Linked DNA regions of Lonchura striata. Each later gene encodes a partner of the first gene's protein in a complex. Links are inferred from orthologs where the notes say so. Each region holds a gene or a part of one and is shown in the gene's direction. Other genes may lie near its edges.

The links. The genes of interacting proteins can lie anywhere in the genome.
Region 2: DDX5 (region 1) and PA2G4 share a complex: the UniProt entries of both Homo sapiens proteins name them as parts of the ribonucleoprotein complex. The link is inferred for Lonchura striata from reciprocal best matches to the Homo sapiens genes DDX5 and PA2G4.
Region 3: DDX5 (region 1) and ARVCF share a complex: the UniProt entries of both Homo sapiens proteins name them as parts of the ribonucleoprotein complex. The link is inferred for Lonchura striata from reciprocal best matches to the Homo sapiens genes DDX5 and ARVCF.
Region 4: DDX5 (region 1) and SRSF1 share a complex: the UniProt entries of both Homo sapiens proteins name them as parts of the ribonucleoprotein complex. The link is inferred for Lonchura striata from reciprocal best matches to the Homo sapiens genes DDX5 and SRSF1.

The regions. Positions count from the first base shown.
Region 1 is NC_134621.1:8,414,045-8,421,833, reverse strand, and holds the start of DDX5 (putative ATP-dependent RNA helicase DDX5), read left to right. Parts: upstream 1-4,379; 5' UTR 4,380-4,487; coding exon 4,488-4,519; intron 4,520-5,860; coding exon 5,861-6,026; intron 6,027-6,172; coding exon 6,173-6,269; intron 6,270-6,354; coding exon 6,355-6,488; intron 6,489-6,610; coding exon 6,611-6,676; intron 6,677-7,053; coding exon 7,054-7,195; intron 7,196-7,270; coding exon 7,271-7,431; intron 7,432-7,580; coding exon 7,581-7,753; intron 7,754-7,789. Other genes in the region: CEP95 (centrosomal protein of 95 kDa), read right to left, coding at 1,083-1,143. UniProt on the Homo sapiens protein: Involved in the alternative regulation of pre-mRNA splicing; its RNA helicase activity is necessary for increasing tau exon 10 inclusion and occurs in a RBM4-dependent manner. Binds to the tau pre-mRNA in the stem-loop region downstream of exon 10.
Region 2 is NC_134629.1:9,433,922-9,442,451, forward strand, and holds the start of PA2G4 (proliferation-associated protein 2G4), read left to right. Parts: upstream 1-5,189; 5' UTR 5,190-5,341; coding exon 5,342-5,429; intron 5,430-8,530. Other genes in the region: ERBB3 (receptor tyrosine-protein kinase erbB-3), read left to right, coding at 110-181, 911-1,184, 2,722-3,248. UniProt on the Homo sapiens protein: May play a role in a ERBB3-regulated signal transduction pathway. Seems be involved in growth regulation. Acts a corepressor of the androgen receptor (AR) and is regulated by the ERBB3 ligand neuregulin-1/heregulin (HRG).
Region 3 is NC_134620.1:8,196,893-8,204,630, reverse strand, and holds the start of ARVCF (splicing regulator ARVCF), read left to right. Parts: upstream 1-4,397; 5' UTR 4,398-4,540; intron 4,541-4,667; exon of another isoform or gene 4,668-4,699; intron 4,700-4,782; exon of another isoform or gene 4,783-4,952; 5' UTR 4,953-5,004; intron 5,005-7,738. UniProt on the Homo sapiens protein: Contributes to the regulation of alternative splicing of pre-mRNAs.
Region 4 is NC_134622.1:10,652,413-10,659,479, forward strand, and holds SRSF1 (serine/arginine-rich splicing factor 1), read left to right. Parts: upstream 1-4,696; 5' UTR 4,697-4,833; coding exon 4,834-5,027; intron 5,028-5,193; coding exon 5,194-5,378; intron 5,379-5,585; coding exon 5,586-5,758; intron 5,759-6,013; coding exon 6,014-6,208; 3' UTR 6,209-6,226; downstream 6,227-7,067. UniProt on the Homo sapiens protein: Plays a role in preventing exon skipping, ensuring the accuracy of splicing and regulating alternative splicing.

The DNA.
Region 1 (7,789 bases):
GTCAAACAGGAGGCTGACCAATCCATCCAAAATATTAAACAGTGTTTAAGTGTAATCATAACCCAACTGGACTTGGGAAGTGAAAAACACTGAAGTACCAGAGGCTGGGCAGGTTAATTTTTTTTTCCATGTAATGAAAAACAAATTTGCATCTGGTCTATAGCCAGGACCTCTAAACCTTCAAGACATTAACAAGCCAAGCTTTGATACACCATTTATCAATTATCAGAAATAACAGGTTCTTTTTTTGGAAAACATGAGCTTCTCGGACAAACTCAGGTTCTCTAATAGCCTTAGGCAATGTCATCACTGCTAATGTAACTACTCCTCATAAAAAGTAAATTCTACTTTAATTATTTAAGGATTAGAAGAATACAGAAGTGGTCACACCAAGTTCTCTGCTGAGCACAAGATGTGCATTAACATTGTGATTTTCCTCAAAATTTGAGTCCTAAGATCAAAGTGCTTTGAAACACACATATTTTAACAAGCATTAAGAACTTTAATTTATTGGTGAAGACATAAGTCACCTTTGGAAGAAAAAAGTATAGAATTACTACAACAGAAACAAATTGGTACAGTTTTCAGTCTTCTGTACAGAGGAGTGTTACTTTTCCATCTCTCTACTCCATCAGTTCCAGACATCACCTTAAGTTTCAGATGCACCAAAGGTTAAAGCAGCATCTACATTTCAGGCTGATGTCTTGGAACACTTGAGTTACTGTTCATCTGTAGCTTTATTAAGTTAAAAGTGTAGCCAGGAAAGGAACAAAGAGGGGAAGGGGGAGGTTAATGCAAAGATCTTAAAAAGCTGTAACACAAGAAAACAACAGCTTTATAAATGAATAAGCATGAACTGACTGGGTGAGCTTTAATAAATAATGACTGAATAAAATTGTGCCAGCGATGCGAGCAGCGGCGGGGAGGGGGAGTGATAAGGGAGAAGGAAACTTTCCGGGTCGTCTCTCCCGGCTCTGCGGGTGCCAGGCCGGGCGCTGCTCCGGGAGCGGGGCCCGGGGCCAGGCCCACCGCAGGGCCGGGCGCAGCGAGCGGCGGTCGGAGCCCCCCGGGGCCGGCCCTACCTGCGCCCTCAGCGCTGCCCATGGCGGCACCAACGACCGGGGCCCGGGGCCGCCCCGCCATTTAAACCGCGGCCTGCGCGCCCATTGGGCAGCCGCAGGAAGGGGCGGGGCCGCGCGCCCGGCGCGTCCGGTGCTCTCGGTCGTGGCCGGTGTTACGGGAGCGGGGCGGGCCCAGCGCCTCGGTAACGGGCTTGGGAACAGGCCTGCGCTTGGACTGGGAACGGGGAGCAAAAGAAAGAGCCCGTGCCCCAAGCTAAGCCGCGGCGCCGGTGCCGTGAGGGGCGCCGGTGCGGTCCGCCCGGTTCCGCCACCGGCGCAGGGCCCCGCGGGCCGAGGCCCCGGGCAGCGCGGGCCGGCCCCGGGGCGCTCCGGCCGCCGAGCGCTGCCGGCGGCGTAAAATGGCGGCGGGGAAGGCGGGGGGAGGGGGGCCTGTCCGTCAGGTTCCGCCTCCGTCACCTGAACAGGAGGCGGGTGGCGGCGTTTATCTCGGTAAATGGGGTGGGCAAAGGGCCGGCCTGGGGCGGGGGTGGAGCGGGGGAAGTTGCACCACTTGACCTTGCAGGCGTGCCCGGGACGTTTGCTGGCCTGTATGTCCATTAGCGGGGATTGCTGTTAATTGCCACGGTTTGGCAGTTCGAAGGCATTTCTGCATGAAAGGAGAGCTAAAACGTTTATTAAAAATAAAATGCGTAAATGAAAGTTACTGTACTAGCCGCTAGCATGCAGTTTATTGGACAGGTTGGATGGTGAAAATCTCTTACTTCCCTTTCTGAGCAACAGTATTGCATGCTCCTCAGGAATTCTGGGTTTTCCATGTTGAAAGAAAAAATGGTGCCCTTTATCGTTAAACCCCTCAAGCACGGCAAAGGCAGCTGAGGTCCCAATTTTGACCGTAAGAACAATGACTGGCAGCAATAAAACCTCAGTGCTGTGAGCTCCAGCAGCCCACGGGTGTCATTTGTCGATCCAAATCCAAGTGCACACACCACCTCAGGAACACAAAAGAACTTTTGTTGTGTGTAAGCAAACACAGATCAGTGCTATCGAAACTAAACTAAACACAGATTTTAGTTTGCTGCATACACAGCTCTGCAAAACTGTTGATTTGTTTCCATGTGCTGGCTCTAAGAGAACATGGGAAAACCAAGGATGTTTAACTTAGGAGGGTGGAACAGAAAAATGAGGAAGTTTTTTTACAAAGTAAATTGAAAGGAGTTCCTTGCAGACTTAACTGCGTGTAGACAAGGCAGGGACTGGGTTTTTGTTTAGTCTTTTCAATTCTTTAATACCTTAGAAAGATTAAACAGCACAGTAACAGGAGCCACAGAGTTATACACAAACAAAACCAAATTAAGCTGTGTTAAGATAAATGCACCAGAACAAGAAAAGATAATTCATTTTTACAGCGTTTGCAAAAAATTTTTTTAGACTCACCAGGAACAGGAAGCCTGTAGGGTCAGAAGGTGGAGAGTGTTAGTAGGGGTATTTGGGGTTAAAAATTTTTCATAAGCCATATTAAATAAGTAAGTCTCTACTGAAAAAAACTGGGGGCATTCCTCTACTAGAAATTTGCTGGGGTAGTATTAGCAAAACTGGTCAAGTTGGAGTGCTATTGAAAGAAATAATTAATTACAACAAAAAATTGGTTGAGCAAGGTGGAATTCCAAATTGCTGAGGTTTGAACAGTTTTGGCTATTCATAAACAAAATAACCCTGACTTAGGTGTTACTTTTGAGGACAATATCATGCAGACCTCTAGTCTTAGCAAACCCTGCTCTATTCTTAGCAACAAATTTTAAAAACTGCTATAAAGTAATACACAACAGATCGAAACCACCTTTATACTTTCATTATGTAGATCTGTATGAGGTCCAGATCTTAAATGCTGTGAATTTCTTGTCAATAAAGGCAAAAATAGCAAGGATAATTAGAAGCATGGAATCGCTTTAAAAGGAGGAAAAATTACACTGCAGCTTTGGTTTATTATAAAGGAGGTGACTTAGAAGATATTAATGCCCACAAACAGTATAAATAAACAAAAAGTTATTACTCACCATTTCTACTAACTCATTGTTTTATGCTCCTTATTATTATCCAGCAATATGTTGAAAACGAAAGTAAATGTTTTTCAGGTTGCATACACTAAAACCGTAAAATACATTGTCATGGTATCTTACAAGCTAAGGGCATAAATAGAACCAAATGTGAAGAAATGGCCATCAAATACAGTTATTTTTGTCCCAGAAAAGCCTTAAAGCACAGATTGCTAGAAGGTGGGAGGATATAAATGGGAAGTGTTGTTATAGCACTTCTCCTTCCTTATGTTGTTTTCATTTCTTCCCTCTCTGCCTGGAGCAGGTGGCTTCGGGTGTTTGTGCTTAAAACTTTAAGTCCTGTGTGTGTAAAGCTTCAGGTCGCCTGACACTGGCCTGGCAAAGCCGGTGGGTGAACAGCAATGTCCACTTGGGGTATTGAGTGTTTTTATCCCGTGCCTTCAGAGCAGCTTTTCAGCACCACTGCACCTCACATGACCTTTGACTCAGGTTACTGGCCCTGGTGTGGAATCCAAAAAGATAACACTGGTAATTTTACAGACATATGCTTATAAATATTTCTGTTCATGTATATGTTTATAAACATTTTTTAAAAGGCAATGGGTTAACAGAATAAAAGAACTAGCCTGAGGAGGTTTGATGTTATTTTGCATCCAGCTCCAGGATCTGCACATCTGGGTCCTTCTGAGAGCGAAAGTCACAGGTGGACATAGAGCCAATGTACCGTGAAGTATGAGTTTTTATTAGTTAAAAACCTGGGCTCATCTCAAGTTATTTCAGGAGGATTTTCAGAAACAGATCTGTGAGAACTGGGGGACTGCACTGCGGACATCAGGGTCCGGCTCTGCCCTGCCAACAGTGATGAGGAGCTGAGCTGCGAGCTGCGTTCTGAACACGCTGGGAGGCCGAAAGCCTGCACTTAGGGAGGATGGAAGAGAGCATTCTCCATTTGCATTTCCGGCCCCCTCAGGCCGGGATGCCCTCAGCCAGAACGAGGCTCCCGCCCGCAGCGGCCCCGCGCAGGCGCGGGCAGGGGGTGGGGGCCGCTCCCCGCGGGGAGGGGGCACTTCCGGCCGCGAGCTCAAAACCGCTCGGCCGGGCGAGCCGCGGCCACGCCCACAAAGGGGCGGAGCCTCGGCTCGGCTCGGGCCGCTTGCATAACGGCGGGGGTGGGGCCTGCGCGTGCGTCACGCGCCGGCTCCCAGCAGCCCCCGCTGCGCCCTATATAACCGGCGGCCGCGCGGCCGCGCGCCCACAGTGAGCGGCCCCCGCCAGCGGCGCCGGATCTTGTGCAACCCTTCGCCACCCGCTCTAAGCGACCGGAGTCGCCTCGCCCACCGCCACCATCGCCATGCCCGGGTATTCCAGCGACAGGGATAGAGGGTGAGTCCGGGGGCACGGCTGGCGCCAGCCGCCGCCAGCGTCCGGACTCTGAGCCTACCCGTGGGGCTCTCGGGGTTGTTTTTCAGACGTTTTAAGATGGCGGCGGGGCGGGGGTTCGGCCCTGAGCCCTTCCCTCAGCGCTCCCGCCGCGAGGGTTGGCCGTGGGGGAGGGTATCGGGCTTTTTTAGGCCACCGACTGGAAGATTCCTTCGCCTCAGAGCACCCCTCGCGGGTGTGCTACCGCTGAGAATAGCGTGGGGGAGTTTTAATTTTTTTTTTTTCCTGTTGGGAAGGAAAATACTCGCCCCAACCCCCTTGGGACGCCCCCCGCCCAGCACAGACGGTCCGTGCAGAGCCCGATTCCCCCCGCTGGGAGCGGCGGGCGGGCTGGAGGTTTGTGGGTCAGTGGGTTGGCTGTGCCGAAGCCTTGGGGAGCTCTCGGCAGGGCGGTTCCCTCCCGTCCCTTCCCCCTCCCGAGGCTCGGGCTGTGGCCGGCCGGAGCCGGCCGGCTCCGCTTTGTGTTGTGTAAGCGGATGTTAATGGCCGGCCCCGCCATGCGGTGGCTGAGGGGAATCAAAATGCCGGCTATGCTGCTGCTGCCTTTGTTCCTCCTCCCCCCCGCCCAGCCCGGCTCTAAAATGGCAGCGGCTGGAAAATGTGGCGTAGACAGAAATGAGAGACAAAGGAAACAGCGCTGGCAGGAAGCAGCGGCCGCTCGGGAAGCGCTGTGTTGTGCTGGGAAGGATCGTTCCCAGTGCCCGCCCGGCCAAAATTGGGAAGTGATCGGGCCGGGGGAGGGAGACCTGCGCTCGGATCCAGTGCGCGGCACCGATCTGCGCCTCGGGGCTTTCGAGATCAGCCTCCTCCGAACGGAGGGACGGAACCTGAAACGCTAATAAAGCGCATGTCCTCATAAAACACCGTTGTTAAAAGAAGTCTGTCTTTTGGGACATGCAAAAGAACGGTTTACAGGAAAGTTATCTCAAGGTTTCGTAACTGCTCCTGCTTTCAGTAATAGGACTGTCACTGGGACGGGAAACCATTTTGATCACGGGGTAGTGCCAAGGTTTTAATGCTTGTTGTAACTTGCTGTTCAATTGCATTGTATGGAAATGGGAAAGACGTTGTCTTAGCTTGTGAGTGTGAATTGTGGCCAGGCAGATTGTGGCATCTGCAGCTTAAAGTATGGCTTTTAAAGTTCTAGTGTCCTGAAACTTCGATATGTAGAGTTTCTACATCTAAATTGTAAAGTTAATGGGTGTACTGCAGACATAGTGGTGAAGTTGTTCAGGAGGACCAAAATGTTTTTCATGCATTCTATAATGTGTTCTTTTTGCCTAGGTTTGGAGCCCCTCGTTTTGGAGGAAGTAGAGGTGGACCTCTCTCTGGGAAGAAATTTGGAAACCCTGGGGAGAAACTTACAAAAAAGAAATGGAACTTGGATGAGCTGCCCAAATTTGAGAAGAACTTCTACCAAGAACATCCGGATGTAGTTAGACGTACTGCGGTATGTACCTGACCTGGCTCAAGCCAAAAGTAAACAGAAAGTGCAAACATGTTGAGGGTCATGAGGCCCAGCAGGCACAGATGGGGTAACTTAAAATATAACTGGTATCAGACATTATTTCCAATAATGGGTGTTTCTTTTTGCAGCAAGAAGTTGAACAGTACAGAGCGAGCAAAGAGGTCACAGTTAGGGGCCATAACTGTCCAAAACCAATTATCAACTTTTACGAAGCAAACTTCCCTGGTAAGTGAAGACCAGTTTACTTAACTGTTCTCCAGACTGGATTAGGGCAACATCTGAATCTGTATGTTTAAATTTTCTCTTCAAGCAAATGTTATGGAAGTAATTCAGAGGCAGAACTTCACTGAACCAACTGCTATTCAAGCACAAGGTTGGCCTGTTGCATTGAGTGGATTGGATATGGTTGGAGTGGCACAGACTGGATCAGGGAAAACACTCTCTGTAAGTTTTGATTATAGCCTGAAATACTGCTGGATTTCAGCAGTGACAGTATGGCCTAGCCTAGCACAGGGTGAAAACTTCTAGGAAGAGATTGTAATGAGATTTTTCTTTCTTCCAATCAGTACTTACTGCCTGCCATTGTGCATATAAATCATCAGCCATTCCTGGAGCGAGGAGATGGACCTATTGTGAGTATTCCTAAATTAAAGGGGATTTTAATTTCTAAGGATTTTATTTTACAGTCTCAGTTGGTCCTGCTCATAAGAGTGCATAGCTGCATTCTGCTTCTCTGTGTGAATAAAGTGGTTCCCTGTTGGGCTGATTTCCCTAGCAGATTCTATAATCTCTGATTGGGTTGTCCTCAAAATAGTACAGAACAGGGTTTGATTTTGGGTTATATTTTGGAAGTTGCTATCCCTGGAAGCTACCAGGTAACTTGGTTTGCTGGTTTGGCTGCTTAAATCTACTTCTGTCAATCTGGCATTGAACTTTACACTCAAAATTTTAAGTCTCAGACTAACCTTCCAATGGGTATTGAACTAAAAGATGGGTATCCTGTTTCCAGTGTCTTGTGTTGGCACCAACCCGTGAACTCGCCCAACAAGTGCAGCAGGTAGCTGCAGAGTACAGTAGAGCGTGTCGTTTGAAGTCCACGTGTATTTATGGAGGTGCTCCAAAGGGACCACAAATCCGTGACCTGGAAAGAGGTATGGATCAGCCTTGGTGCATCTGTCTGAGGGAATGGGGAAACTGCTTCAGCTGATGGGACTGCTTGGTTTTAGGTGTGGAAATCTGCATTGCAACACCTGGAAGACTTATAGACTTCTTAGAAGCTGGAAAGACCAATCTCAGGAGGTGTACTTACCTTGTCCTTGATGAAGCTGACAGGATGCTTGACATGGGATTTGAACCTCAGATCAGAAAAATTGTAGATCAGATAAGAGTGAGTATAAATAGTTAATGCATTTATTGCTATGGCAGATGTAAACTACTGCCACTACTCTTGATAAAGCAAGGGTGGGTAAGCCTGGGTTTTGGTTGGGCATTTAACTTAACCCTGTACTGATGTTTCATTGGTCTGATCTTCTCTAGCCTGACAGGCAGACTCTGATGTGGAGTGCCACATGGCCTAAGGAAGTGAGGCAGCTGGCTGAAGATTTCTTGAAAGAATATGTGCACATCAACATTGGTGCGCTGGAACTGAGTGCAAACCACAACATTCTTCAGATTGTGGATGTGTGTCATGATGTAGAGAAAGATGACAAGTAAGTAGTCCTTGGGGGCAAACCATTCAGTGTTTT
Region 2 (8,530 bases), on another chromosome or scaffold:
CGGTGTCCCGGTGTCCCCGCGGTGCCATCCCCGTGTCCCCTCGATGTCCCCTCGATGTCCCCTCGATGTCCCCGCGGTGCCAGCCCCGTGTCCCCGCCTGTCCCCGCAGAGCCCGAGCCTGCTGAGCGCCCCCGCCGGGTACATCCCCATGAACCCGCCGGGCCTGGGCTGCCCCCGCCAGGTACGGGGGGCTCGGGGGGCTCGGGGGGCTCGGGGGGATCGGGGGGATCTGGGGGATCGGGGGGATCTGGGGGGCTCGGGGGGATCGGGGGGATCTGGGGGATCTGGGGGATCTGGGGGGATCGGGGGGATCGGGGGGCTCGGGGGGCTCGGGGGGATCTGGGGGGATCGGGGGGATCGGGGGGATCTGGGGGGCTCAGGGCAGGTTTGGGGTGTCCCCCCTCACCATCCCCCTGCTGTCCTCAGGCTGGGGGGTCCCAGGGTGGGTTCGGGGTCCCATGACCAGTTCGGGGTCCCGGGGCGGGTTCGGGGTCCTGGAGCCGGTTGGGGTCCCGGGGCCGGTTGGGGTCCCGGGGCCGGTTGGGGGTCCCGCGGTGAACTCGGGGTCCCGGGGCCGGTTGGGGTCCCGGGGCCGGTTGGGGGTCCCTGGACAGGTTCGGGGTCCCGGGGCCGGTTGGGGTCCCGGGGCCGGTTGGGGTCCCGGGGCCGGTTGGGGGTCCCGGGGCCGGTTGGGGGTCCCGCGGTGAACTCGGGGTCCCGCGGTGAACTCGGGGTCCCGGGGCCGGTTGGGGGTCCCGGGGCCGGTTGGGGTCCCGGGGCCGGTTGGGGGTCCCGCGGTGAACTCGGGGTCCCGGGGCCGGTTGGGGTCCCGGGGCCGGTTGGGGTCCGGGGCCGGTTGGGGGTCCGGGGCCGGTTGGGGGTCCCGCGGTGAACTCGGGGTGTCCCCCAGCCCGGGGGCTCGCGGCCGCCGCGGCGGGGCCGGCAGGACTCGCTGGGCCGGTCGGTGTCGGAGTCGTCCGAGGGTCGCGGCGCCGGCTCGGAACCGGAGCCGGGCGCGGGGGGCGGCCCGGCCGGGAGCCTCGGGCGCGGCCGCCGCCCGCGGGGGGACGGCGCCGGCCCGGGGCACCGGGAGAGCCGCGCCCCGCCGGCCCCGCCGCCGCCCGGCTCCCCGGGCAGCGAGGAGGACCCCGACGGATACGTGACCCCCACCTGCGCCCTCCGCGGTGAGGGGGCCCGGGGGTCCCATCGCGATGGGAGTGGGGGCTCCCCCTGTCCTGGGGGTCCCTGTGGGGCTGGAATGGGGCTGGGGGTCTTGGGGAGGGGGTTTCCATCCCATTTGAACGGGTTTTGGGGCTCCCCCTGTCCTGGGGGTCCCTGTGGGGCTGGAATGGGGCTGGGGGTCTTGGGGAGGGGGTTTCCATCTCATTGGGTCGGGTTTTGGGGCTCCCCCTGTCCTGGGGGTCTCTGTGGGGCTGGAATGGGGCTGGGGGTCTTGGGGAGGGGGTTTCCATCCCATTGGGTCGGGTTTTGGGGCTCCCCCTGTCCATGGGGGTCCTTGTGGGGGTCCCATCGCGATGGGATGGCAGTGGGGGTCTTGGGGAGGGGGTCTCTATCTCATTTGAACGGGTTTTGGAGCTCCCCCTGTCCTGGGGGTCCCTGTGGGGGTCTCATCCCGCTGGAATGGGGCTGGGGGTCTTGGGGAGGGGGTTTCCATCCCATTGGGTCGGGTTTTGGGGCTCCCCCTGTCTTGGGGGTCCCTTTGGGGGTCCCATCCCTCCAGGGTTTTGGGTTGGGGTCTCTTGTGGCTCTGGGGGCGGTCCATCCTATTTTTGGGGTGGGGTCCATCCCCTGTTTCTGGGGGGGGTCCCATCCTGCAGAGTTTGGGGGGGTTCATGTGTCTCTGGGGGGGGGTCCATCCCCTGTTTTTGGGGTCCCATCCCGCACGGTTTGGAGGTTTCTGTGGGGTTCCATCCTGTTTTTTGGGTGGGGGTCCCATCCTGCAGATTTTGGGCGATTCATGTATCTTTGGGGGGGTCCACCCCTATTTTTGGGGTGGGGGTCCCATCCTGCAGAGTTTGAGGGGTTCATGTGTTTCTGGGGGGGTCCATCCCCTCTTTTTGGGGTGGGGGTCCACCCCGTTTTTGGGGTGGGGTCCATGCCCTGTTTTTTGGGGTGGGGGTCCACGCCGTTTTTGGGGTGGGGGCCCACCCCGTTTTTGGGGTGGAGGTCCACCCCGTTTTTGGGGTGGGGTCCATGCCCTGTTTTTTGGGGTGGGAGTCCACTCCGTTTTTGGGGTGGGGGTCCATCCCGTTTTTGGGGTGGGGGTCCATGCCCTGTTTTTTGGGGTGGGGGTCCACCCCGTTTTTGGGGTGGGGGTCCATCCCGTTTTTGGGGTGGGGTCCATCCCCTGTTTTTGGGGGGGGTCCCATCCTGCAGAGTTTGGGGGGTTCATGTGTCTCTGGGGGGGTCCATCCCCTCTTTTTGGGGTGGGGGTCCACCCCGTTTTTGGGGTGGGGTCCATGCCTTGTTTTTTGGGGTGGGGTCCATGCCCTGTTTTTTGGGGTGGGGGTCCACCCCGTTTTTGGGGTGGGGGTCCACCCCGTTTTTGGGGTGTTGGGTGCACCCCCTGTTTCTGCGGTAATTCCGGGGCTGCTCTTTCCTCATTTCGCCCTGCTCTGAGCCCAGCCGAGCCCCCCCAAACCCCTCTGGCACCCCTGGGGACCCCTGCCCGGTGCGTGACCCCCTCCCCACCCCCGGCAGACCCCGCCGCGGGCTCGGTACCGGCACCGGCGGAGGAGGAAGAGGAGGAGGAGGAGGAAGAATACGAATACATGAACCGACAACGGGGGGGATCCCGGGGACCCCCCCAACCCCGCCCGGCCTCGCTGGAAGAACTCGGCTACGAATACATGGAGGTGAGCCCCGAGCCGGGGGGACCCCCGGGAGCCCCCCAGCCGGGGGGACCCCGCCAGGAGGATGATGAAGATGAGGAAGAAAACTACGAGTACATGAACGAACAACCGCGGCTCAGCCGCTCGCTGTGCGCCGTGCCGGGAGCCCCGGGCCACGACGGCTACACCGAGATGAGAGCGGCCGAGACCCCCGCGACCCCCGGCGGGGCCGAGCAGGGCTACGAGGAGATGGAGGCGGTGGCGCGGCCCCGCCGCTGCCGCGGGGCCCCGGCCATGAAGGCGCTGCGGAGCCTGGAAGCGTCGGACTGCGCCTTCGACAACCCCGACTACTGGCACAGCCGCCTCTTCGCCAAAAGCGATGCCCGGCGGACGTAGGGGACCCCCTTGAGACCCCCGAACGCCCCCCTGCATGCGAGACCCTCCCCCAAATTCCGGGGGTTCCCATCGGATGTGAAGGATCCCCCCCGGGTGGGGTTTCAGCGCCTTTTCGGTCTCTTCTCGCTTTGATTTTTGATTTTTTGGGGTTTTTTTTAGGGGCGGGGATTGAGGCTGAGCACGCCCAGGTGGGGAGGGGGCAGCGGAGACCCCCGGGATTCCCCTCCCATCTTGATTTACCCCCTTGAGACCCCCGAAACGTCCCCCTCCATCCGAGACCCTCCCCCAAATTCGGGGGGTTCCCATCGGATGCGAAGGATCCCCCCCGGGTGGGGTTTGAGTCCTTTTTCCGTCTCTCCTCGCTTTGATTTTTGATTTTTTTTTGGGTATTTTTGTTTTTTAGTTTTATTTTGGGGGGGTCTCGAGCACGCCCAGGTGGGGAGGGGGCAGAGGAGACCCCCGGGATCCCCCTCCCATCGTTGATTTCCGCCCTTGAGACCCCCGAACGCCCCCCTCCATCCGAGACCCTCCCCCAAATTCCGGGGGTTCCCATCGGATGTGAAGGATCCCCCCCGGGTGGGGTTTCAGCGCCTTTTCGGTCTCTCCTCACTTTGATTTTTTTGGGGTATTTTGTTTTTTCGTTTTATTTTGGGGGGGTCTCGAGCACGCCCAGGTGGGGAGGGGGCAGCGGAGACCCCCGGGATTCCCCTCCCATCTTGATTTAAGCCCCCGAGACCCCCCAAAACCCCCCCAAATTCGGGGGGTTCCCATCGGATATGAAGGATCCCCCCAGGTGGGGTTTCAGCGCTTTTTTGGCTTCTCCTCGCTTTGATTTTTTTGGGTTTTTTTTTGGATTTTTTGGGTTTTTTTTTAGGGATGGGGGGGTGAGACTGAGCACGCCCAGGTGGGGAGGGGGCAGCGGAGACTCCCAGGATCCCCCTCCCATCGTTGATTCCTCCCCCCCCATTCACTGAAGGTGCTCCCCAAATTTTTGGGGGTCCCTTGGGGGTCCCTGGCCCCACCCGCGGGTGCCGGACGGGATTTCTGAAGGACCCCCGACTCATTTCCAGGCTCCCCATTCCCTGCTGAGTGAAGGTTTTGGGGTGTCCCACCCACGAGGGACCCCCGGGATCCCCTTTTGGGGTGTCCCCCTCCCCTGACGTCACCCGGGGTCCCGTTTTTGGGGTGTTTCTCCCGGTTTTTCGGGGGTTTCCCGGTTTTGGGGGGGGGGGTTGGAACCCCCGTTCAGGGATCGCCCCCGGTCCCGGGGGGGGGTCGCGCGTGATGGAAATAAATGAAAATAAAAGAATTTAGTTAAAACCTCGGAGGGGCTGGACCGGGGACACCGGGGGGACACCGGGGGGGACACCAGGACCGGGCTCCGGGACACCGGCAGCCGCCGGTACCGGTACCGGTGCTTGGGGGGGGGTCACGGGGGTCGAGGGGAGCACCGGACCGGGGTGTCCGGTGGTGTTGGGACCGTGGGGGTGATGCCGGTGGGTGGCTCCGGTGTCACGGTCCGGGAACACCGGGGACCGAGAGCGGGGACCGGCCCCGGTGTGGCCGCGGTGCCGGTGCTGGGGTTGGGGGGGGTTGAATGGGACGGGCGCGGCGGGGCTGGGGGCTGTGAGTGGGAGCGTTGCTGCAGGGTTGAGCCCAGGAACGTGGCGAGGAAGCGCTGGCAGAGGGAGGAGCAGAACGACCGGTCCCGGCGGCGTCCCGGCACCGAAATTCCGCACCGGCACTTCCGCCTACAACCCCCATCGCCCCCCGCGCGCCGCTTCCGCTCTCACCCCCCCACCCCTTCTCGCGAGAGCCGCGCTGCACGCCGGGAGTTGCAGTCCGCAGCGCGAGGGTGGGCGCGGCGCAGCGCGCTCCCGTCCGGGGGCTGGGTTTGCCCGCGGGGGGTGATGGGAGTTGTAGTCCAGGGGGGCGTGGAGGCCTGGCGTTCCCAGCGTGCCCCGCGCGGAGCCCGCGCTCTGCCCTGCTCGCGCCTCCGGTCTCGCGGTCCCGGGGCTCCCTCAGCACCGGGGGGGGGGGGCGGCTCCAGCAGGCCCGGGGGGGCACCGGGAGGGCTCCGGGGGGCTCCCACCATGTCGGGAGAGGAGGAGGCCGCCGAGCTCACCATCGCCGAGGACCTGGTGGTGACCAAGTACAAGATGGGGGGGGACATCGCCAACCGTGAGTGCGGGCCGCGGTCGGTGCGGGGGGGGGGGGGGAACGGCGGGGGGGGGGGGGGGGGGGGAGCGGGTGGGACCGGGCGACCCCCGCCGGTGGGAGAGCCCCGGGTTCGGGGGTCCGGTGGGCTGTTCGGGGCTGGGACCCCCCCGCGTGTCCCGGTGGGACCCCCCCGGGGCTCGGTGCCCTCCCGGTGCCGGCGGGGCCCGGCCCCGCGCCGCCGCCGCCGCCGCCGCCCGCACGTGGTACCGCGCCCCACGTGCACCGGCGGCGCGGGGAGCGGGGCCGGGCCGGGCCTGCCGTGCCCCGGACCCTCCCGGTGCCGCTTTTGTTCCGGTGGGACCCCCCCACGGACCGGGGCTCCTCTCCGGTCCCGGTTAGCGCCGGGACGGGATGGGAGCGGGACGGGAGTCCCGGGGGGGCGGCCCTGGCTGGGTTTGGGGGGTGGGGGCTGACCCGGGAACGGGGTCCGGTTCTGGGGACGGGGTCCGGTTCTGGGAATGGGGTCCGGTACTGGGGATGGGGTCCGGTACTGGGAATGGGGTCCGGTTCTGGGAACGGGGTCCGGTTCTGGGAATGGGGTCCGGTACTGGGAACGGGGTCCGGTATTGGGAACGGGATCCTGTCCCAGGAACGGGGTCCGGTTCTGGGGATGGGGTCCGGTTCTGGGGATGGGGTCCGGTTCTGGGAATTGGGGTCCGGTATTGGGAATGGGGTCCGGTACTGGGAATGGGGTCCGGTACTGGGAATGGGGTCCGGTACTGGGAATGGGGTCCGGTATTGGGAATGGGGTCCGGTATTGGGAATGGGGTCCGGTACTGGGAATGGGGTCCGGTTCTGGGAATTGCGGTCCGGTTCTGGGAACGGGATCCTGTCCCGGGAACGGGGTCCGGTTCTGGGGACGGGGTCCGGTTCTGGGAATGGGGTCCCGAACCGGTCTGGGGATCCTGTCCCGGGAACGGGGATCCTGTCCCGGTCAGGTTGTGGATCCTGTCCCGGGCGCGGGGTCCGGTACCGGGAACAGGGTCCGGTCCCGGTCCCGGGGCTCCTGTCCCGGTCAGGTTGTGGGTTCGGTACCGGGCACGGGTCCGGTCCCGGGGCTCCTGTCCCGGTCAGGTTGTGGGTTCGGTACCGGGCACGGGTCCGGTCCCGGTCCCGGTCCCGGTCCCGGTCCCGGGGCTCCTGTCCCGGTCCAGGACATGGATCCAGTCCAGGGCACGGGTCCGGTCCCGGTCCCGGGGCTCCTGTCCCGGTCAGGTTGTGGGTTCGGTACCGGGCACGGGTCCGGTCCCGGTCCCGGGGCTCCTGTCCCGGTCAGGTTGTGGATCCTGTCCCGGGCACGGGTCCGGTCCCGGTCCCGGGGCTCCAGCCGCCCCGCTCCCTCCCTTTCCCGTTCTTTCCCCTCGCTGCCGGTGTCCCGGCTCCGGGAAGCCGCCCGGACCGGTTCCGCGGGGCTCCCCGGTGTCCCACGCCGCTTCCCGCTGACTCCAGCGCTTCTGTGGAACCGGCGCCGGTGGCCCGGGAGGGGATTCGGGGATTGCGGAGCCGGGATTCCCTTCGGGCTCCCGGGAGAACTGGAAACTCGGCCGCCTCCCTTCCCGGGGGCAACGGCAGCTCCGCTCCACGGAGCAAAACCCGGCCAAAAACCGGTTTTTTAGGGGTAAAAATCGGTTTTTTAGGGTTAAAATTCGGTTTTCTAGGGATAAAAATCGTTTTTTTTAGGGATAAAAAGTGCCTTAACTCCCTAAAAAACATGGGGAAGGAGGGAGGGATTCCAGGAATGTTCCTGTTCCTCTGATCTCTTGGAATGCTCCGAGGGTTTTCCACCTTTATCTGCTTTTATTTTATTTTTTTTTAATTTATGTTTTATTCCCCGCTCCGTGTGCCGCCGCCTCTTATCGGGAATGTTATCCGTGCTTTCAAATGTTCCCAACTTTCCCGTGGAAAAAGGGGCTGGAATTTGAAGGCCTCGCACAGGTGACAGGGCCGCAGAATTCCCGAGGATTCCTTGGAATCCTGAGGAAGGTGGGACAGAGGGGAACAGAGGGGACATTCCAGGATCCCGGGATATTTTGGGGTCACATCCCGGGATTTTTCGGGATCCCATCCCAGGATATTTTGGGATCCCATTCCAGGATATTTCGGGATCCCATTCCAGGATATTTTGGGATCCCATCCTGGGATCCCATTGAAGGATCCCAGGATATTTTGGGGACCTCATTCCAGAATATTTTGGGATCCCATCCCAGAATCCCAGGATATTTTGGGATCCCATTCCAGGATATTTTGGGATCCCATTCCAGGATATTTTGGGATCCCATCCCAGGATATTTTGGGATCCCATCCCAGGATATTTTGGGATCCCATCCCAGGATATTTTGGGATCCCATTCCAGGATATTTTGGGATCCCATTCCAGGATATTTTGGGATCCCATTCCAGGATATTTTGGGATCCCATCCCAGGATATTTTGGGATCCTATCCCAGAATCCCAGGATATTTTGTGATCCCATCCCAGATCCCAGAATATTTTGGAATCCCAGAATATTTCAGGATCCCATCCCAGCATCCCAGGATATTTTGGGATCCCATCCCAGAATATTTCAGGATCCCATCCCAGATCCCAGAATATTTTGGGATCCCATCCCAGAATATTTCAGGATCCCATCCCAGCATCCCAGGATATTTTGGGATCCCATCCCAGGATATTTTGTGATCCCATCCCAGATCCCAGAATATTTTGGAATCCCAGAATATTTCAGGATCCCATCCCAGCATCCCAGGATATTTTGGGGTCCCATTCCAGAATATTTTAGGATCTCATCCCAGCATCCCGGGATATTTCGGGATCCCATTCCAGGATAGTTTTGGATCCCATTCCAGAATATTTTGGGATCCCATCCCAGGATATTTTGGGGACACTTATTTCCCTAGGAAGGCACGATGCAGGCTGGAATTCCTGTTGGATATTTTTTTTTGGGGCGTGGAGCGTTCCCCAAACTTCCTGGGGCTGTGTCAGCCCGTGGATCCCTTTGGAAAATTCCTTGGATTCCTTGGAATGGCTTTGATGTCTCCCAGCCATTCCCAAACCTGTTCCGGAGGAA
Region 3 (7,738 bases), on another chromosome or scaffold:
CTGGATAAATTTAGGTTGAAAACCTTAAGCAAATGGCGCTCAGGAGCAGCACCTTCCCTGGCGGGGAGGGCCGGGGCTGCGGCCAGAACGGCACACACAGCGCCCAGAGCAGGAGCCCGACAGCTCCGGGAGGATGGTGGCAGCTGAGGCGGCCCCGCGGGGGTCCGAGCCCGCCCTGCCGGCACGGCGACCCCGGCCCCTCGCTCCCTCCCGCCCCTCCCTCACTCACCCACGGCCGCCGCGCCGCCCGTCCCCCGCGCCGCTTCCGGAGGGCGGCCGGGCCGAGCACACCGCCCCTCCGGGGGCCGGGCCGGCTCCTCCTCCCGCCGGCGCTGCCGGTACCGGGCCCTCCCTGTGCCCCGGGACCGGCACCGAGCCCTCCCTGTGCCCCGGGACCGGCACCGAGCCCTCCCTGTGCCCCGGGACCGGCACCGAGCCCTCCCTGTGCCCCGGGACCGACACCCAGCCTTCCCCCTGTGCCCCGGCACCAGCACCGAGCCCTTCCCTGTGCCCCGGGACCCGACACCGAGCCCTCCCCTGTGCCCCGGCACCGGCACCGAGCCCTCCCTGTGCCCCGGGCCCGGCACCGAGCCCTCCCTGTGCCCCGGGATCGGCACCGAGCCCTCCCTGTGCCCCGGGATCGGCACCGAGCCCTCCCCTGTGCCCCGGGATCGGCACCGAGCCCTCCCTGTGCCCCGGGACCGACACCGAGCCCTCCCTGTGCCCCGGGGCCCAGCACCGAACCTTTCCCTGTGCCCCGGGATCGGCACCGAGCCCTCCCTGTGCCCCGGGCCCGGCACCGAGCTCTCCCTGTGCCCCGGGATCGGCACCGAGCCCTCCCCTGTGCCCCGGGCCCGGCACCGAGCCCTCCCTGTGCCCCGGGACCGGCACCGAGCCCTCCCTGTGCCCCGGGACCGGCACCGAGCCCTCCCCTGTGCCCCGGGATCGGCACCGAGCCCTCCCTGTGCCCCGGGACCTCCTTGGGCTGTGCGCGGGGCCGGTGCGGCACCGCCCGGCATCCCCCAGAGCATTGGGATGTCATCTCCCAGCCCCTGAGCTTCGTCTTGGCTGCCTCAGCCTGCTGCCAGCCCATCTGGTTTCATGCTGAGACGAGAAATTCGGGTAGTAGTAAAATGCTTTTCACTGTTAGGGTGGTCAGGTGTTGGAACAGGTTGCCCAGAGAAGTGGCAGAGCTGCCATCCTTGGAGGTCTTTAAGTCTGGTAATGTGGTTTAGTGGTTTATAGATGTTACAGTGTTTAATGAGGTTGGACTTCATGATCTTTAAGGTCTCTCCTCACCTTGCAGATTCTATGGAGAAATAAAAACATTACATGCCTGATCTGAGCTTCACAGTGCTCATAGCTCTGAGGACAAACAGACCCAAGGCTGCTGACAATCTCAGAGGGTTTGGATGCAGCTCCTGACCCCTCAGAACAAGGCCCTGTGTGGGATAATGTTCCCCTGACCACCTTCAGCAGAGACTCTGCTTCCAGGAGGGCCCCCAAAGTCACTGAGCCCTGAGTTTGCAATGGGATGAATTCCAGCCAGAACAGCTTTCCTGAGAATTGAGGAAAACACAAGTGACAACATCAAATTTGCTTTCAGTTATTAGCACAGCATGATCAGAACTGATAACCAAACATTTAGTAATTTTACCTAGATCTGCAGATTTGGGTTAGGATTGGAGCTGTGTCACCTTTTTGTTCTACTGAAATATTAATATTATTTCATTTTTCAAACAAAACCTCAAACTTTATTTATTACTTTTTTTTTCATGGGTGGCAATAGAGGGATTCAGTGGAGCCTGTAAATTACAAAATGTTTTATAGTGAAGCCTGTAAGGAAACACCATAAAAGCCTGAAGTGTTCTTCCAAGTTCTAACACTGATAAACACAATACACACAAGATGTGAAACAGTAATTAAAAGAATTCCCAGGGGTATATAGATGTGTTAGGTGGCTTGTCAGGCAAAACCTTTTATCCTGGATACAGAAAACCTGAAGTCAATTGTCAGGTTTAGCACTGCTCGGGCATATGACATTGAGCAAGTTCACCTCAATGCTTTCCTTCTCCATCATCAACAATAGGATGATCACATTGACCTTTGCAAGGTCTCCTGAGATCTACTGATGAAAATTACTGGGTGAGTGTATGATCATCATTCTTTGTACTACTGCTTCTGAAACACAATAGATTGCAGTTATTACCTTGAGACATACAAACCTAGAATGTATTAATGTTTTCAGGTACAGAGTTGTTATTTAAAGCAGTTATCTGGTGACTAAATAGATAAATTATACAAATCTCTGTAACACTGAAATTGGTTAAATGCATGCACATTAAATATAATGTATTGTACTTTCTGGCACTCTGAGTCTTGAAGTATAGATTCATCACTGTAACCAAAGATCATTTAGCTTCTATGCTTGATTCTAATTTAAAATCTACAGATGGTAATCTGCATACCTTCAACAGCAGTCACATCTGTGGGAGGAAAAAAGTGTCCATAGGCTTAAAATTCAATTCTGTTTTTTACTGGATTTTTTTCTATTTTTAATACATATGGGAAGTAAGAATAAGTTCAGAGTCATTTAAAAAGCCTTTTAGGAGGCTGCACAAAAAGAGTCCACTGCAAGAATTTGTGAATAATGGATTTGGTGGCCATTTTGACTCTTCCTTTTATTCTTGTGTCTACCTTTTGTTCTGCCAAAACTAGCTTGGTTATTGTTGCCCCTTCTAGACCTTGTCCTAGGGGATCAGTGTATAGCTCCCATTATTTGTCAAACTCAAATAGACTGATCCCAAAGCAGGCTCTGCTTCTGTATCCACTTTAAGAGAGTGGTACTGTCAGGGCAGAACCTCTCTTGGAAAAAGCTAAAATACAAGCAGAAGCTTAATTAAGGGCTTGTAGAATTGTCCTGAGTTGGTTTCAAAGACTAAAAGAGAACTAGTCCTGACATTTGTTTAAAGAGTTTGTTCTTTGAGTCCTGGAATGCACATTATTTCGAATGCATAAAGCACACTTTAGATAGATTAAATATCTTTTCCCTGAGAGGTCTCAAAAAGCAGCTTTAAAGAGGAGACATCAGGGACCCTGACAATTTTCTAGAGATGGGTTCTTGCCCATATCTAGTTTAATACCTCCACCAATTGTCTAGATGATGCAAAATATTTATTAGGAAATTTTGTAGCCTAATAAATTAGTGGGTAAGTCACAATTGTCTACAAAAATCATCTGATGTGTCCAATAAATCATCCCAGTCCAGTAAATTGCATTTTTAATAGCATAAAATGTAAGGAAATACATCTGGAAATAAAGAATGCAGAGAAGGGGTTAGAATGGCAAAAAGTACCTCAAAAAAGAATTTAGTTGTTATTATTTCAGTGTGACCTCTCAGGATAATACTGTGGTAAAATGGACTACTCTAACTATTTACTGTATAAAATACAGAATATATAAGGGAAACAGGGAGCGACACTGTCTTTGTCCACAGCACAGGGACATTGCTGCACCATTTCTGACACCCACGGTTAGGGAGGGAGGAAAACCACAGGAAATTATTAAAAGGAGGAACATAAATTAAACCACGATATAAAATAGAGGCGTAGGAAGCTCAAGCTATTCCGGTTACCGAAGGCTAAGCTGAGAGGCGACGACGGCAGCGCACAGACCACTGCAAACGGCGAGAAGGTCAAGTCAGACAAATCCCTGCGGATCGCGTGCCAGCATTACCTGGCTGGCTGCACCTGACGGGCCTCTGCCACAGCATTTCAGCCACCAGCTGGGCCCGCCGCCCCGGGCGAAGAGCTGTGCCGGGCGGCGTTCACTGCCGAGCGCGGGAACCGTGCTGCCGCGCAGCGGGGCGGGGGCGCGTCCCGGTGACCGCGCGGTCCGCGCCGCTCCCGCGGAGCGCACGCCGCCGGCGCGCCGCTCTCCCGCCCCGCGGGGGCCGCCCCTCCCGCCGCCCGCCGGGGGCGGGGCCGCCGCATGTGACGGACAGGTCGGCGGGCCAATGGCGCGTGGCGCGGCCGGCAGCGCGCGGCGGCGGGGCGGGGCCGCGCCAATGGCGCTCCGGTTGCCGGGCGCGATCGCAGCGGCGCCGCCCAATGGGAAAATTCGCGGCGCGGGAGGCGCGCGCTGGTTCGCGTGCGGCGCGCGACGGTCGGCGGCGCGGGCGCGCGGCGCGCGGCCCCTCACGCCTCCCGCGTTCCTGCTCCCAGGTGCGAGTGTTGAGGAATGTGCCCCGCTTGGAAAAATAAATAAAGAAATAGAGAGATGGGCGGGCGGTGGCATCATGGGCTGGCCGGGCAGTGCGCTCCCGTTTCCCCGCGGGCCGCTCCGGTTGTTTTCCGAGCAGTAGTTTGGGGAGGGAGCGCGTTTTCCAGCCGTGCCCTTGGACCTTTTTACTTCAGGAGCACCGTCAGCGGCCAAGCCGGAGTGCGGGAGCGGGGACCCCGTGGGCCCGATGGTAACGAGCCCATGTGCTCTGTAGAAAAGGGGAATTCCCCTGTGTGCTCCAAAAATCACAGCAGAAAAGGTATATGCAAGAAAAGGGTTAATGAGTATTTCCACCTCCCCCTCCTTCCTCCCCCACCCCCCGTTGGATAAAGATGGTCTTGGATACCCTTTGTAAATAGGAATGTGGAGGTGGGAGGGGAAAATCAGCCCGGCTCCGACTACTCGGCGGCCTCGGTGGGTGAGCGGGCGGGAGGAGCTGGTGCAGCCCGGGCGCTCTCCCGGGGAACGCGCGGGGGACGGACGGGCACCCGCGGGGCGGGCGCGGCGGAGCGGCTCCTGCGCGGGCGGCGGGAGAGGAAGACAAGGGCTGACATGCTGCCCAGCGCCTGCCCAGCGCTGTATTGAAGAGTTGGGGGGGTTGCCCCTTTTTATTTTTTTTTAAACATTTTTTTTTTTTTTTTTTTTTTTTTTTGTGCGCCACCTCCTTGAAGCCACTAGCAGCAAGGAAAATAAGCTGAGGACAGAGAAATAAAGACGGAGATGGTGAGCAGATCGCTGGGTTGGGGGGGAATGAATGAGGTTGCCGGGCTATTTTCTGTGAGGTTCTTGCACGGTGTAGTACGTTTTGGGGTGATTTTGCATCACGATTCCGTGCTAGACTTCTTTGTTTGCTAAAGGCTGCTGGTTCAGGTTTAACAGCGTTCATCAGTTTATTGTGAGATGCGCAACGAGGAGTTGATGTATGCGAATGCCTGAATTACATACGCAAGCCACACACACAAGCAAGCCCTAAACAAACCAACATTGTAATAATCCTGCAATATGATGGGCAGCTCGTGTCATGGAGGGAAGTCATTGCTCAGGTTATTTGTGGTATGCATAGGAGATGAATCTCTTTGTAGCAAAGACCAAACAAAATTAACCTATTTTTTCACACACGCGATATCCATTACACACTTAAGAGCCAGAGTTAGGGGTTATTTTTTAATTTTCGCTTTCCCTGCAGTATTGAGGTCCACGGTTAAAATCTGACGTTTGTAGAAGTTGAAAAACTCTTTGAAATGTTCACTTCTAGTGAATATGAAATAGTAAAGACTGTCTTTCGTGTTTTTTCCCTTTTTTCATGAAGGCACTTGTTCGTGTGTGAAAGGGGGAATTCTTAAAACACGCACTTTGCTTGTTACGCTGTACTGTTGTGCCTTTAGGTAGGTCACAATGCAAAACGTGATTCATAGCATGTTAAAAAAAATAACTCTAAGTTGTTTGTTTTTTTTTTTTATCAAGTGAAGACCTGTTATCGTTCCAATAGCTTAAACCCTAAATACAAGTTTTGCGGGGGGAGGCGGGAAACAGCCCTCCTGATTTGTATTAATGGAAATGCTTTATGTTAAAAAATCCTGCTTCTAAATGACAGAATATAGACATTGCCTGATTGTAACTTCCTGTGGATAAGGTACTGCAATCTGCTGAATACAGTAGTCCTTTAAGGCTCCATAAATTTAGACATATTTTGTTTACAAAATTGTGTAGCACTGCATGGTGCAATAGTAAAATCTGAAATTTTAGTGATTTTAGAAGTGTAGCAAGGCACTGCAAAAGAGAAAATATGCAGCCTCGTATTAAATCTCCTATGGAAGAAAAGGAAAAGGTTTGTTTGTAATACAGGGTATGCACAGCAACTAAAGTAACTGCAGGGGCTGTAGAGTTTGGAGTTTGTATAGAAAAAATAACTTGTGAACTATGCTGGGGTCTTCATCCTGCAAGGTATTTGGATGGATGATTCTTAAATTTATTTTAAGCAGCATCTCTGTCAGTTCTTCTCTGAAATATTTAAATTATATGCTCTATTAGGCAAATGGGTTTATCTTCCATTGCTTGGTTAAAGGAATGCATTTGGAAGGCAGGAACAATAGTTTAACTGCGTGGTTCATCCTTGTGCATTGTTCAGAGATCACAGTTTGCATTTTATTTGACATTGGTGATTTTTATAAAGTGGACTTTTTTATTTTATTATTATGCCATAGTTGCTGTCAAATAACTGAATTTCAATTTATAGTTTTGATGTACTATTTGGCCAAAATAGATGAAAAATAGTTCCCTTCTTTGAATTTTGTCTATTAAATTCAAAATCTCTGCAGTTGATTTCAGTATTAGAAAGTTTTTAATATTGGAAGAACCAACAAGAGCCACAAATAGAGGGAGTTTCCCATTTTGAGTTAGGACACTGTACTAGAAATGGCAAAATTCCTGCCATTTGCTTCTACTTCAAATTTTGTACAAACTGTAGTTTAGTTTAGATATCTTGTCCTGAAGACCATCTGTATGCATATTACAGTTATATAAAACTAAGCTTTTATACTTGATTTTATGTAATGCAACACATTATATCTGCAGTGCTTTTGGTGGATCTTGAGTACTGTCAGAATTGATACACTGCAAGAAAAACCTGTTAGAATTCTTGTGCTACCAAGTTTATAGTTTGTCGGTCTTAATATTTTATTGTGTGAGTATAAATCATTGACACAGACATTGTAAACAAATGCTGTAGCAGCTGAGTATGATTTTACATTTGGCTTGTGTCTTTCCAGTTTAACCAGAGTATGACAGTATTCTGTCAGGTGTGGTGCCATCCTAATAGCCATCATAGTTAACCTTCAAAGCACTTTGGTAAATTTTTTCAATTTCTTGTCTGTCTTTACAAAATAAAGAGGAAAAGGCCAACTCTAGGTTACACCAGTATAAGTAGGGAAGGAATTTCACATGTGTTGCATGCAGGTACCTTATTCAGACTTCCTGTGTATCTCTGGAAATTAGCAATGAGATTTTAAAGGTTAAAATCCACCTATTTGTAGAAAAAAGTTCTTTCCGATATGCAAGACATCTAGAGTACACATGTAACTTGACAAAATATATTTTCTTCACAGAAGGGCATTAGAGGTTTCATGTGTTTAAGCATTAAAATAAGAACAGGGAGATTTTCTTAAATTTCAGGTAGGATGTGGTCTACCTGTGAGCTGAAGCAAGGCAGTAACCACCTGAGCGTCTGAGAAAAGAAGCAATCAACTTAGATAATGAAGTGACTTTTATTTCCTTCAGCTAACTTGTGTAAAACAAAGCCAACCCCAAAAAACTACTGTGCAAATATTTTGTAGATTCCCAGTTTGTTTTGGATTGCCTGTGAAATTCAAGGGTAGGAGTGAAAAGGACAAACAAGGAACTTCTGCTGCAGTCTGCTGAGGTTCTAGAGGTCTACCTTTTCTCCATTGTGACTGGTTTT
Region 4 (7,067 bases), on another chromosome or scaffold:
AACAGCCGCTGCTGGGGCCCCGCTCCTAATTTCTGACACATCTTTTAACCTGCTCATTTAAAAGCACTTACTTTGCATCCTTCTCCTTAAGAATTAGTGGGATATGAACCATGAGGTTTCCTAGATTAGGAATGTCTGGATAATAAAATGCTGTGGAACAGGATTTCCAGTGGAAGCAGAATCCTTTCAGCAGTACCTGGGCACTGGGATCAGCAAACCTTGGCAGCTGATCCCACGCTGGCCCTTTTGTAAACATTGAGTTTATTTTTCCTCGTTTATTTGCCTTTCATTGAGCTCCAACAGGAAAAATATATGGCTCAGCGTCCCTCCCACCCTGGTCTCTGTGAGTTTTTGTTTCACATGGTTATCACAGTCCTTCGCCTCCTCCAGTGTTTACATAAAGTTACAGCGCCCACAAAACAGCTCCAAAAACTTTATTTGTATTTTAAAATAGTCTGCTTGAAACCAATCTTAATGCATTTCTCTCTCGTTGTAGTTCCTCGTGTTAAATAAAATCAGCAGACCCTCAGTGATGCCAGAGGGGCCGCGTGGTGCTGAAAGCCCCGAGTCGGGGAGGCAGCGGGGACATCGGCAGCGCTGCCAGCGGCTCTCCACGCAAAGCTAATGGAAAACCTTTTAAAAACCACCCAGGCCTGGCACATTTGGGTTCTTTCTGGAGAACCAAGAGATGCAGCTCTGTCCACGCTCCCAAGGCTTGGCTGGGTGGCACGGCCCGTCCAGAGACACCCCTGGGATGTGTCTGTGGCCCTGCGGTGTCCTGGCAGGGATGGTGACAGACGCCACACGCCAGATAAGAAGTGATCATCACCTCGAATTTACAAACAGCGTTTCAGTTCCCTGTGTCAGGATGGCACTGCCCACTCCCAGCTGGAGCACAAGAGCTGGGAAGGGAAGTGCCAGGAGGGGCCGGTGAGCTCCGCTGCCGGAGCTGTGCCGCTCCGGCCGCGGCTGCCCAGCGGATCCCGGCGTGGATGGCTCAGCCAGCTGTGTGCCACGCACCTGGAGTGTGGGAATGCCTCCAGCAGAAAGGAGCAAACTCCAGGAAAATAGCAACAGCAAAAGGAAAAGGAGCAGCTGCAGGAAAAGCCTCGCTGCCCAGTCCCCGCCAAACCGCGAGGTTCCCTCTGGAGTGAGCGACCCAAATGGATTCGCTCCTTTCCGCTTATTTATTCCTTAGCAGCAATGACTGTTAGCAGGTTTATTTACATTGACAGCTTGCATTTATTTTCCTCCCTCTCCTCGTCAGGCCTTGGAGCATCCCACCAGGCAGGGAGAGGGAAGAGCAATGCAAGCAGCTGCCACAATATTCGGTGACAGTGGGAGGCAGGGAGCAATGGCAGAGCTCTGGATAAACAGAAATGTCTTCCCAGAGAAATAAATCCATGAAAATGGACTGGGGGGGCTCACTGAAAATTCTGGTCTGTGCTAACTGCTGCCCCTTTCCCTCCCAGCCCCAGCCATGGTGTGCTGGCATGTGGGAATCACTGCAAATCCAAGTAACGTGAAAACAAGACAGCAGAAATCACAGCAAACCAAACAATTTTATTATTTTTAATATTTAAAAATTAACCTTTTATTGCTACCAGCCCAACAAATAAACACGTACAATTTAACTGATTCTGCTTCCCTGTGCCCCCTCACTGTGCTCCAGGGACCTGGGATCTGAGCACATCATGGGGTGTGGCTGTTCTCAGAAAGGAAAAACAGCAGGGTTTTGGAAATTTAAAAAATGAGCATTCCCAATCCCCCTGGGACGATTTGAATTGTGGTGGTGCTACCTCTGCTCGTCTGGCTTTTCTCCTTTAAGTCCCCACCTGTGTGTGTCCTTTTGGGCTGGCTTCCAGGAAAAATTCCCACTGGCAGTGTGCTGTGTTTTCTGTTTGCATCCAGACATGCCCCAGCATGTGCAGAGGAAATCTCTTTGCTTGCAGTTAAATCTGCATAAATAAAACAAGCTGTCACCATCCACTGCTGTGGGAATTATTTTCAAGCTTACACACACTTTCCTTGTCTTATCTTAAGCTCAGAGTTTCTCTGAAAAAGTCAGACTGGTATTTTTGGATTTTTTTTTTTTTTTTCCTACATGCAAAACAGTAAGTTTGATCACCTGGAAGCACTGTTTAAAATGGACACACACACACACACACACCCCCAAAGTATCAGCTTTGTATTTCACTCCAAAGGCACAACCTGTGTGGTTTCAAGTTCCTGGTGCAATGCCAAGGAAACCCCTCCAGCAGCAGATTCCAAAGGACAGTTACCAGAGGGAAATTACAAGTTTGGACAGTTCATTGCTCAGATCTCAAAAAAAAAAAAAAAAAAAATTACTTCAGATGCCTCTTAAAAACCGACCCTTTTCTCCCAGACAATCTGGGCTTTGATGAACTGTTATTTTGCAACACAGTAAGATTAGTCAGGACTAATCCAGCTGGATGCTCTGTAGCAAGGATTAGGACAAACAGGTTCTGTGTGACAGAGCTGGGCGATGACAGGCCACAGCCCCAGCCCTGCAGCTCTGCCTGGGAAACCTCCTGCCTCCCAAGTTTCAGCAGGAATAACAATAAGCAATGATGTTATGTGCCTAATATCTGCATTATTCTCCCTTGGAAAGCCCTCGTTTCCATTGCTCCCATTTTGAGGACAAAAACTTGTCATTTTTGAGTAGTTGGCTTCTTTTTTTCAGCAAGATTATTTGCCTTGCCTTCCCAGTAATTTATTTTCTACATAACTTATTAATTCCCCACATATGTGTTTTGCTAGAGAGCCAAAACTGACTCTGAGAAATAAGTATTGTGCAGCATCTCCAACTGAACACTCCAGTGATAACACAGACCTAAGGAAAGTGATGAGGAAGAAAACATCTAATACTGCTATAAAGAGACACTTCATTAAGGTAATTAAGAGAATCATTTAGAGCAGTTATGAGGATTATTAAGACACAAAAGAAATTATGCAATGGGGTTTACACAAAGCAGGCAGAGTTACCATTGGTTCATGATGCCTTTAAGAATAACTTTCAGTGGTTTTAATGAGTTTTTGAAAACAGAGACTCATTTCTTGGCAAGGGATGGAGTTTCCCTACACCTGGGAAAAGCATAATCAGGATCTTTGTGGGGTTGTTTTTTGGTGGCAAGAGGACTTGTTAGGTTTTTTTAATATCACAAAAAGGTTTGGGCTGGGAGGGGCCTTAAAGCTCATCCATGCCATGGCAGGGACACCTCCCACTGTCCCAGGCTGCTCCAAGCCCATCCAGCCTGGCCTGGGGCACTGCCAGGGATCACAGAATCCCTGAATCGTAGTTTGGAAAAGACCTCCAAGACCACTGAGTCCAATCCTGGGCCCATCACCACTGAGTGCCAGTCCTGCCACTCCTTGGGCACCTCCAGGCATGGGAACTCCATGAAGTGTTTCTGGTGAGCTGGCAAATAACCAAACAGCTTGTTAAATTGTGAGCAGCTTGTTCAATCTTCAAAGCCCATTATCTGCCCCAAATCACCCCCTGAGGTTACACAGATTCACGACAGGCGTTGTGCCCCACTGCAGAGAGAACTGTGAAACCTCAGACTCTGTCACAGATGCAGAACATGGCCAGGCAGTCGGGAATTTACCCTTTGCCCTTGTGAAGATGGGCTCTCCCACCCTTGGCAATCCAACATGGACATTTCTCCTTAAAAACCTTGGGGCAGAGACATGCTGCCCTATTGTAAGTGCAGGTGAACCCACTGGGAAAAAATGCTGATGTCTGCCTCCAGTTCAGAGCGCTGAATGATTTCTTTATTATAACTATACTACAATACATTAATATACTATTTAAAGGAGATACTAAAACTACAAACCTACTTTTTCTAAGTCCCATATAACTCACTCATAACTCGTGCCCCTCTCTGAGAGCCCAGCCCCAGGTGGGTTGGATTGGCCATCAGGCTCAAACAATCCTCACCTGAATCAAACCAATCACCCCAGGTAAACAATTCTCCAAACACATTCCACCTGGGAAAAACAAGGAGCAGAAATAGAAATTGTTTTCTCTCTCTTTCCTCTGTGCTCCCCTATGAAAAATCCTGGGAGAGAGAAGAATGTGCCTGTAACACTGCCCTTCCACTTCGGGGGACAGAGCTGGGCACAGAACCGGGCACGGCGGGAACAGAAGTGGGGACAGAGCCGGGCACACAGGCGGGCACAGCACAGAGCAGAGCCGGGCTCGCAGCCGGGCACAGGGCAGAGGCAGAGCCGGGCTCGCAGCCGCGGCCATGAGGGCAGAGCGGGCCCCGCCGCGCCGCGGTGCATTGTGGGCCGCGCCCGCTCTTGGCGCCAAGCGCGCCCGCCGTCCCGCGCGGTGCATTCTGGGCCGCGCCCTCCCCGGCCGGGCCTAAAGGCGCGGGGAGCCGCACCGGACGTGACGCCAGCGGCCTCCGCCGTTTGAGCCGCTACCGGGAGGAGCGTCTTTTATATGCCGCGGGGACCGCAGTCTCCGCACGGTATAACGGAACTCCCGCAGCCTCGAGACCCCCGTACGGACTCGGCTTCTCCGCGGCGGCAAGAACCGAGGGACTACTTTGTGGCGGAACCGCGCATGCGCGCGGCGGGAGGCTGAGGGCGCGGCGGAAGACGCGCGCGCGCTCCGCTGAGCCGCCGTTGCTGCGGGCGGTGCTGCGGCCGGTGGTGCGGCCCGCGGTGGGATCGGTGCGCGCAGAGGCCGCGCGAGCGGAGGCGCGGGCGCCATTTTGGAGCGGCGCTCGGCGGTGAGGTGAGGCGGAGCGCCCCGAGAGCCCGGCCCGGCCCCGCACCGCCGCCAACATTGCCGACCTCGCCATGTCCGGCGGCGGCGTCATCCGCGGCCCGGCCGGCAACAACGACTGCCGCATCTACGTGGGGAACCTGCCCCCCGACATCCGCACCAAGGACATCGAGGACGTGTTTTACAAGTACGGCGCCATCCGCGACATCGACTTGAAGAACCGCCGCGGGGGCCCGCCCTTCGCTTTCGTCGAGTTCGAGGACCCCAGGTGAGCCCCCTCCGGCGCTGCGCTGGCCCCCCGGGCTGCCCGGAGCCCCCCGGGAGCAGCGGGCCGCGGTGGCGGGGCCCGGCGGGGAGCGGCGGGCGGGCGGCGCGAACAAAGGCGGGCGGGGGTGCGGCGGCCGCGCTCACCGCCCGCCCCGTGCCGCCCGCAGGGACGCGGAGGACGCCGTCTACGGGCGGGACGGCTACGACTACGATGGGTATCGCCTCCGCGTGGAGTTCCCTCGGAGCGGCCGCGGCACCGGCAGAGGCGGCGGGGGCGGCGGGGGCGGAGGAGCCCCCCGGGGCAGGTACGGCCCGCCGTCCCGGCGCTCGGAGTACAGAGTGATCGTCTCGGGTGAGTCATTGCTCTCTCTTTCTCTCTTAGCGTAAGCGCTCCCCCGGGGTCCTGCAGGCGCGGTGCTGCTGCCAGCATCTCCTTAAAAAGCATGGCCCCGTGTGCTTTGGTGTCCCCGCGATGCTGAGCGCTCCTCTGCTCTGCTGCTGCAGTACAGGAGGTGAGGCTCTAATCCGGTTTTAAAGTCACGTTTTGGTTTTTCCCTAGGGCTGCCTCCAAGTGGAAGTTGGCAGGATTTAAAGGATCACATGCGTGAAGCAGGTGATGTATGTTATGCTGATGTTTTCCGAGATGGCACTGGTGTCGTGGAGTTTGTGCGGAAGGAAGACATGACCTACGCTGTGCGAAAGCTGGATAACACTAAATTTAGATCTCACGAGGTAGGTATCACACTTATTCTCTTTGGCCAGAATTGGATACAAGGGGCTTAACAGTAGGATTTGAAGGTAAGGAACGCGTGGTGGTCGCTGTTTGGTTAGGAGGCAGCTAAGTGAGTGTGTGGTCAGGCCGGACATAGACGTGTAAGCTCTGCTGTGTGTCCCGGCCATAGTAGCACTGTCTGCAGTCTGTCAGCATGCCTGAAACATGGCCCTGAAGCCTCGACGTGTCAATCGAAAGTTCTGTCTATCCAATAGGGAGAAACTGCCTACATCCGTGTTAAAGTTGATGGCCCAAGAAGCCCAAGCTATGGAAGATCTCGGTCCCGCAGCCGTAGTCGTAGCAGGAGCCGTAGTCGCAGCAACAGCAGAAGCCGCAGTTATTCCCCAAGAAGAAGCAGAGGATCTCCACGCTACTCTCCCCGCCACAGCAGATCCCGATCTCGTACATAAACATCACTCTAGCTCTGATCTTTTTGTAGAACCCCATGTTGTACACAGTTTTCCTTTACTTAGTACAGTCTTTCATTTTTTTTTTCAAATTCCAACTGTTTTACTCGAATTGGCTGAAGTGTTGAATTGCATTCTTGTGTAAAATCCCTAGTGAGTATTTGCTCCTGGACACCGACATTCCCCTCCTGTCTTTGGTAAATTGTATTTTAATTGCTGTCAGTCAGGATTGTTCTGGTTTAGTTCTAGTTCGATACCAACATTCTTGGAGCCGTGGTATTGCTGTGTAAATGTCTCAGTGTTCCGCTGTGGTCGAGACGAGCTGGGGATGTTGGGATGTTTGTGGCTAACTTGTCTCTTCTGGGGGATCTTACATTTTATCTTGCCTTTTCGTGTGTCTTTCTGTAGACATATCTGAAGAGATGGATTAAGAATGCTTTGGATTAAAGGATTGTGGAGCACATGTCAATCATTTTAGGATTGTCAAAAGGAGGATTGAGGAGGATCAGATCAATAATGGAGGCAATGGTATGACTCCAAGTGCTATTGTCACAGATGAACTTGGCAGTATTGACCTTATACTGAGAGACAGGGGAATTGAGGCCGAGCACCTACGTGTCCCCACGTGTCGCTTCAGGCATGTCCTCGTGACCGCAGGCTGCGATTGCTCTTCTCTTTTAAAACTTCTTTACTGGGGGGGCAATTGTGGCCAGATCCCTGCTTTTGTAATTCTCTATTCCATTCTCGTTCTCTAAAGCAGTAAGCGGGGCCGGGGGGGAAGTATTGGTTTGTTTGTCCCGCAGCGTTTGGTTACAAGTGTCCATGTCCGTAGTAGCCGTACACTTGTAGTAGAACTTGCAAT